Linked DNA regions of Tribolium castaneum. The protein of the gene in region 2 purifies or fractionates together with the protein of the main gene of each other region. This does not show direct contact. Links are inferred from orthologs where the notes say so. Each region holds a gene or a part of one and is shown on either strand. Other genes may lie near its edges. The genes, in order: BAG family molecular chaperone regulator 2 and small glutamine-rich tetratricopeptide repeat-containing protein alpha.

Evidence for each region.
Region 1: the proteins of small glutamine-rich tetratricopeptide repeat-containing protein alpha (region 2) and BAG family molecular chaperone regulator 2 purify together in Homo sapiens (affinity purification with mass spectrometry; 3 studies listed by BioGRID and IntAct, with this or other methods). This does not show direct contact. The link is inferred for Tribolium castaneum from reciprocal best matches to the Homo sapiens genes SGTA and BAG2.

Annotation. Positions count from the first base shown.
Region 1 is NC_087396.1:11,144,719-11,147,965, reverse strand, and holds BAG family molecular chaperone regulator 2, read left to right. Parts: upstream 1-1,374; 5' UTR 1,375-1,556; coding exon 1,557-1,590; intron 1,591-1,666; coding exon 1,667-1,891; intron 1,892-1,938; coding exon 1,939-2,288; 3' UTR 2,289-2,492; downstream 2,493-3,247. Other genes in the region: hop (tyrosine-protein kinase hopscotch), read left to right, coding at 1-351, 406-575, 621-803, 852-987; beta-mannosidase, read right to left, coding at 2,497-2,751, 2,800-3,000, 3,205-3,247. UniProt on the Homo sapiens protein: Co-chaperone for HSP70 and HSC70 chaperone proteins. Acts as a nucleotide-exchange factor (NEF) promoting the release of ADP from the HSP70 and HSC70 proteins thereby triggering client/substrate protein release.
Region 2 is NC_087403.1:5,038,926-5,043,529, reverse strand, and holds the start of small glutamine-rich tetratricopeptide repeat-containing protein alpha, read left to right. Parts: upstream 1-1,548; 5' UTR 1,549-1,756; intron 1,757-1,805; 5' UTR 1,806-1,863; coding exon 1,864-2,076; intron 2,077-2,123; coding exon 2,124-2,227; intron 2,228-2,271; coding exon 2,272-2,555; intron 2,556-2,594; coding exon 2,595-2,712; intron 2,713-2,760; coding exon 2,761-2,823; intron 2,824-4,603; coding exon 4,604-4,604. UniProt on the Homo sapiens protein: Co-chaperone that binds misfolded and hydrophobic patches-containing client proteins in the cytosol. Mediates their targeting to the endoplasmic reticulum but also regulates their sorting to the proteasome when targeting fails.

The DNA.
Region 1 (3,247 bases), on a different chromosome or scaffold from region 2:
GACTGTAGTGTAGTTTTGCAAGGGAGGATTGGGCAAGGGTTTTACGGGGAAGTGTATAAAGGAACTTTGGAATATCCCGGAAATCCTGAAATTGAACCGAGAATCGTGGCAATCAAAAAACTGAAATCGTCAACTGTGTCTGCGTGTTTGCAAGACTTCGAACGGGAAATTAACATTATGAAGACTTTGCAGCACCGGAATATTGTTGAAATTTTGGGGGTTTCCCGGGAACCGGATATTTCCCTAGTCATGGAGTTCGTCCATCATGGCTCTTTGCAGAGTTATTTGAAAATCAATCGAGAGTCGTTGCAAATTAAACAGTTGTTGAAATTCGCGCTTGACATTGCTGAGGTTTGTGGCCTTATTATTTAACCAACTTATCAAATAACATTTTTTATTGACTAGGGAATGAATTATTTGGGCAAGAAAAACATCGTCCATCGGGACTTAGCCACCCGGAATATTTTGGTAGCTGACGAAAACCACGTCAAAATCTCCGACTTTGGCTTAGCGCAAGTCATTGGCACTAATGACTATTACATCTTGAAAACAAACCGGGAATTGCCGATTAAATGGTAATTAGCGAAAAATCACGACTTGAATTACTTTGGTCTTGTTAGGTACGCGCCTGAAAGTTTACGAGACGGCAAGTTTTCCGTGCGTTCCGACGTTTGGTCGTACGGTGTCACAATGTGCGAAATGTTCAACTGGGGCGAAGAGCCGAAATTGTCGAATCTGGGAGAGGAGGAAGTCAGAGGTCAAGAGCAGCAAGTTCTCTTGAACGCCTTGGAGAGCGGGGCCAGGTATTGGTCCGTTGCTGACTTCGTTGGTTTTATCGTTGCCTTTTATAGATTTCCGTGTCCTCCAATGTGCCCACAAGCTGTCTATATACGGATTATATATCCGTGTTGGCACGCGGACCCCCACGAGCGGCCCGCGTTTAGCGTCCTCGTCCAGGAAACGCAAGACCTGCTAACGCAGTATTGAGTGATATTCAGTGCCCATGCAAGGGTGAGCACAGGAAAGAGCACCACTTTGTATAATCTTTTGTATTAAGTTATTCACAAACGCCTATTTAAGATCAAGTGTTAGATTTTAGTTTAAATAAGTACCTGTCGTTTTTATTATTTGCTCAATTTATTTGGAACAAGCACTTCTCGTGCCATTTCTCAGTGCAATCAACTTGTAAATATGTATATTCTATATTTTAAAATAAATGTTAATTTAAGGTTTTTTGCATCATTTCGCTGGACCATTTGTCTCTTTGAACAAATGGCCATTCGGTTTAAAAAAATGCGTTAAAAGCCGCGAATTAATAGCGATAAACATTGAATAATGGTAATGAAAGTACAATTAAGCAGATTTATGGTGTTTTGGGGCGTTTTTTATTGTATTGATTGCGTTTTTCGAGGCGGTTTCGAACTAGTGGGACTAAGGAGTAATGGAACTTTCTAGATTTTGAATCAAATGACCAATGAGTTGTTCCTGTGCTGAATCAAATTGATTTAAAATTATTAGATAAACTGGCGTCAACCAGCAACGATAGCTGCAACAGAATGGACATAGATCCATCTCCGAGTACTTCATCCGGTAATAAATCCTTCTTATCAATATGTTTTTAGGTTATGTCAAAATTTTTGTGTTTGACTAACAGCCCGAGTTTCAGGCTTCTTAATGGATCTGACGTACTCAGGATTGCCAAGGATCGATGAAAACAACACCGTGGATCCCAAATCGCCCAAAGAGCGGGTTTTAGAACTGTTAGATATCTTAGAAAGTCATGTTGAGAAGTTGCGGAGGGAAGCGGCGCAGTTGGAGGAGGACCGGGACCACTTGTTGTCATCCCTGGACTCGGTTAGAAACACTGATTTAATAGTCGACTTACCGGATAGTAAGTATACCAAAAGTAAAAGTCGTTCGTAATTAATTATTTGTAAGATGATAGGGATGATGTTTGCCAGTACGCTGAGCGCATCATGAGCCGCTGCCTCACGGTGGAAGTGAAGATTTTAACTCAGCGTGATAAGATGCAAGAAGAAGCCTTGCACCAAGTGAATCATTTGATAGACAGTCTTGTAATGTGTGTGAAATCGGATCCTGAAAGTGCAAAAGCTAGATGTATAACCTTCATGAATGCTTGTTCTTCGAATGTGGTGCACGGGATCACGGATAAAAAGTTCGAATCGGCTTTGTTAGGATGTACCGTTGACGACCAAAAACGGGTAAAGAAACGGCTTCAAGGTTTGTTAAATTACTTTGATAAACTTAATGTAACTTCGATTCCATAAACTTACTTAATAGTGCGTTGTTATTGATTGTGGCCCGCTTATTGCCATTATATACACATTAAATCGTTAGTATTTAACCAATTGAGTTGTCTTCATTACGGCTTTAATACAACACAGTCGTGTTAACTTAAAATAGCCACTGTGATTGTTTAAAAGACACTTTATTTATAATTGATGAATTAAATAAAATTATTAATTCATGTATTACTTATTTCCGTGAAATAAAATACTTAGGGTCTCTTAGATGAGTCACTGTAAGCGCTTGTTTCAAATCTTCGCTTGTTGTTGGTGAATCTGCTATAAAAGTGACTGTTGTAACAAGAGAGTGTTGAATAAAACCGTTTTCAAGAAAGTGGCCTTTAATATCGTGCGGGTCCAACCAAACGAAAAGACTAGGGGCGTCGGCTTTCACCCACACGTGGAAGCGCAAGCCTTTCGCGTCAATCATATCAACTGAAATAATCTAAAACAAAGCTAAAGCTCTTATCGGTTAATCCCCCGGAAAAATTACCTCAACATTGGAGTTTTTAAGTTTAGCTTCCTTAAATTTTGAAGGGAAAAAGTAATTAGACGGGGTCAAAACTGTGCCGTCTTTCCCACCAACAATATGCACAAAGCAGTTGTATTTTGCTACATCTGCAGCGCCACACCCGGAATCGGACAAAAATTGGTCCACATCGTATGATGCAACTAGTCTTGCCACCAAAGGCTCCTTCAAAATGCATTAATCACGACGTTTTCTCAATTTTAAAATTTCTCTCAAGGTCCGATTGGTTCGCAAATTCTAATTGTTTGGTCCAGGGTTTTACAAAAAAATTGGAAAACCTACTCGCTTATTTCAAGAATTTTTTTTGCTACTGTCATTTGTTTAATCACAAGCCAATCGGGCCGTGATTAACACATCGCAGTTACTCACAAATTCTCCGATAAGTTGGGTAACGTTGAGAGGGGTGAACGAC
Region 2 (4,604 bases):
AAGTCACTCGTTTACATTTTAAGAAAAAGAAAAAAAGAGTTTTAAGGTAAGGACGAAACTAACAAAATAGTGAGAGTAATAAACTGAGCGAAAGCAAGAATTTTTACCAAAAAAAAAGAAATTTATTTACAGACAAGGTTGCAGAAAATTAAATTTTTTTGTTGGGTTGAGAGAATTACGAATAAATAAATGCAAAATTGTGTTTAGTTCCGAATCATACATGAGATTATTGTTTTTTAAGTCAGTTAATATGATCAAAGTTAAAAAAACACTTAGAAACAACTGAAATCACTTGACAAAATATGTGGTTTTAAAACTAGACCTGTACGTTCAGAAATATAAAAAACAAATTAATCATAAGCCGTTTATTATTCCCAAATTTCGTAATTAAAACAAGGCAAAAAAAATAGTTGAAAAAGATTAATAAAACATGTAGTTATTAGTATGTTAATTGCTTCTCAACATGAAAAAAATACCCCAAGCCTTGTTAGAAATTAAAAGACACACTGGTTAAGTTTTGTCAAAAAGACTTGCCGTAAAATAACATTTTAGAACATTGTTGGAAAAATTTTCATCAACAATACCATCAGAAGATTCAAAATAATCCTTACTGTTGATTTTTGGTCTGAGCCTAAAATTATAGTCATAATGGCACTAGCTCCAAATTTCTAAAGGAACCTGCCGTCTTGTATTGTTTCCTTTATCGGCTTATCAATTTTGTTTTCAAACTCTGAATACCCACATTGTTTCAGGGATTCAACAAAGTCATAAAAAATTGTCTCAGATTCCGACTTCAATAAACCGAATAAAATCATTCTGTTATTATGTCGGTAATCATCATCCTACAATGTTTCTAGAAATCAACTAGTTACTAAATTAATACGAACCTACAGTGTTTATACTGGCAATTAAATTGTTGACTAATGGGTCTTTTGTGGAGAGACTTTTCATTACATTTACTAAATCGTGGTCCCTCACTAATTCAACAAAATGTTGATAAATGAAGTTTTCCTGTTCGGGCAACATTTTCAACATTTGTTTAGTTAAACTCAAGACGTTGTGAAAATAAACTGGGAAAGAAAACACTAGAGATAATGGTCAACAAAAAAGGGCATAAAGTTGAGCAAGTTATACTAACGCATGCATTGGAAAAGTAAGTCAAAATATTTACTAAAACTAAGAAGATGCATTTAAACCACTTTATTTAGCTTAATTGGTTCACAATAGCTAAATGGTAAAACAAATTCAAAATTTTAACAACGTATAGTTGGTTGCTTAGGCTGGGCGCGGTGGATAAAAAATTAAAAACAAAAATTCGTCGCCCATATATCCCATTATCCCCATTTCAATTTGGCAATAACGGCAATGCTTTTTTGGAGTGAAATGGTGCACAAATTGAGAGTTTCTGTATAAGAAAATAATTTTGTGTTAAACTGAATCCCAACCACAAATTTTGAGCCAATTCCAAGAGAAAATTAATTTCGAAAATTGTCATTTGTTGCTAAATATTTGTTTTTTCGAAAATATTTTTTTCTGATTTCAAGTTTTCTACGTGTCTTTGGTCGGTATATCAGAGTCCCATCTTGCCGTCAATTACAAGACGAGAAGTTCTTAACCTCAACAAAATTTCTAAAAATTAATTCCAACAATTTCCCCCAATTTAATGTAGAAATCGGCGCCTGCCTTTGCCTTGAATTTCTCTTTATTTTTGCAGCGTTCCGTTGAAAACCTGCTTTTCGTATTTCCTTGCCTTTTTGTAAGTACCTTCCGCATAACCAGAAAATCTCATAAAAGTGGCTTCGCAGTGCTCCCTATTTTGCAACACGTCGCCTATAACCATTTTCACTCCATTCCTTTTCCAAAATGGAAAATTCAAATCTACGCAAAAAGACTCTAATCTTCAACGTCCTGGACTTCTTATCAGGTGAGGTCGGCGCTTCCGACCTCTCCGAGGAACGAAAGGAATCAATTGAGGTGGCAATTCAGTGTCTAGAAACCGCTTACGAAATTTCAAGCGACGATCGCCAAAATTTAAAAAAAGTTGATCTCCTCGCTCAAATCCGACTGAACGATGCGGTGAGACCATTAAAATATTCCGGCTTGTTGTTTACATGTTTGCTTAGGGGGTCCAACAAGAGCAGGCCCTCGAGGCGGAGCGCCAGAAAAATTTGGGCAACACAGCGATGAAAAACGGCGAATATGAGGAGGCTGTGCGTTACTACTCAATGTGAGTTACGGCAAATTTTGGCAAATTTCTGAAGTTGTTTGCAGGGCTATCGAGGCAAACCCCACCAACCCGGTGTACTTTTGCAACAGGGCCGCGGCCTACAGCCGCTTAGAGAACAATGAAGAGGCTATCAAAGACTGCAAACAGGCCCTGGTTCTCGACCCGACTTACGGCAAAGCCTACGGTAGACTGGGCATTGCCTATTCGAACTTAAACCAATGGGCCGATGCTGTGCGTGCTTACGAGTCCTCCCTCAAATATGACCCCCACAACGCCAGTTACCAAACCAACCTTACTCTAGCCCGCGAACGCCTGTTCGAGTCGATGGGTAAGAGTTAAAAATTACGATATAAAATTGAAATCTAAGTTCCAGAAAATGCAGCACCTCCACAACACCGCCCACTTGACATCACGCAGTTCATTAACAACGAGCAATTTTTGACCATGGCGCGGGAAATGATGGCCAATCCCGACTTCCAAAATATGTAAGTGCCCCAAATACGAAAAACTTTGAAATAATTATTCATTCGCAGAATGTCTGGCATTATGGCAATGAGCCAATCGGGGGATACCAACTTTGAGGCTCTTTTTCAAGCGTAAGTATTGTTTTTTTCACTTATTGGCAATAAGCAATAATAAATTACTAGAAATAATAATAATAATAATTCTTTATTGGTGGTATATGTTTTACGCAAGTCACAAAAAATACATAAATACATACTCATAAGATATTAAAACTACATTTAAAAAACTCATCTCAGTTCTACAAACAATTAGCTTTTAAACAAATTTTTAATTTTTCCCTAAAATCGACCGGGAAAACATTGAAAAAATTTATTGCATCGTACCGGGTACAACTCTTTACTCTAAAGATCCTGTTATGCAAAGGTATAATATTTTTGTTCCTCCTTGTATCATGGTCTTGAAATTCTTTGTGCCTGATATATTTATTAATATTTTTCTTAGTATAGAGAAGAGAGTTTAAAACATATAAAGATGGCAAAATAAAGACTGCTCTACAATCAGCTTTGTAATTTAAAGCCGCTATCATGTGCACTGCTCTCCTGTTAAGGAATGGTTTAGCAAAAATTTGAAGGTAGACAGAGAATGGCAAAACGAATCGACTAAGTAAATTTTTTGAATATCGAAAATGCATAGTACTCTCAAAAAATCGTTTTAAAAAACTTTGACTTGAACTTCCCAAAGGTCCCAAAAACCGCTGAACTAGAATGGTAAAAATTAGCGTGTACTTTAAAATTATTGACAAAACGGCAGAGGTAAATTAATTTCTTGGTCCACTTCATAATTCTTTTATTTCAATTTGTGTTTTGTTATAAAATACAAAAATGTTTGCTTAAGGAAAAAATTAATTGTTAATAAACTAGCATAAACCACACAATGGCTTAATATATGGATTAATAATTTTTTTTAAATTAATATATGGATTAATAAAAAAAAATTCACATACAAAATATTGCTAAGCCATTCCCTAAACCCCGTATAATAATAATTAAAAAAAATAATTCACTGACCTTTATGGCATCTTCGGCTACAAGTTGTAGAAGTCCCACCGCATCATCTTCTTAAGCGGACTTACTGGAATGAAAAACAATAAAATTAGAACAATATGCCTTAACTTAGTTGAAAATATTACAAATACTACAATTTTAATTTTTCGAAAAAGGAAATATTGCAGACTAACCCTTTAATCCGGATTGTTTCCTCCTTTTCTCCCTGGGAATCCATTCTATCAACACTAACACTAACACCACTAACCGCGATCAACGAATTTGAAATTTTTAAACTGCAAATTTTTCGATTTTATTTATGAAGCGTCCGATCGCGACGACAACGAGTAACAAACTGCACATAATTGTGTAAGAATATGGATAAAACGTCACCAAGAAAAAATGTAATCTGAGATAACTACTAATTCTTGTAAGGTGAATTGATTGTTACGACTTCGTTAACGTTTTTTTCATATACCTAAATGAAAAATATACAGGGTATTTAATCGTTGAAACGTATTGCTTAAAACTTATAAAAATAATCAAATCATTTTGAATACAAATTCACACAATTGTGCCTTGAGCGTTGGAAAGCGGGAAATTCTTTCCCGTTTTGTAATTTTGTAAGTTGGGAGATTGGGGAGATTTGTGTTTGGTGCAAATAAAATATGCCCCGTTACAGAAAATCAGTGTCGTTTTTTATAAATAACATGCTTAAATACGGACTGAATCAAAAGTAACGCACAAAATTCATATTTTTGTTGAGTCGTGTGTCCAAAAAATCCTTGAACAAGTGGTTTTCATTTTTGTAAATGCTGCATTCTGACATCATATTCGCCAGTCTCAGTTTGGTTTACTTTTTGTTTAGG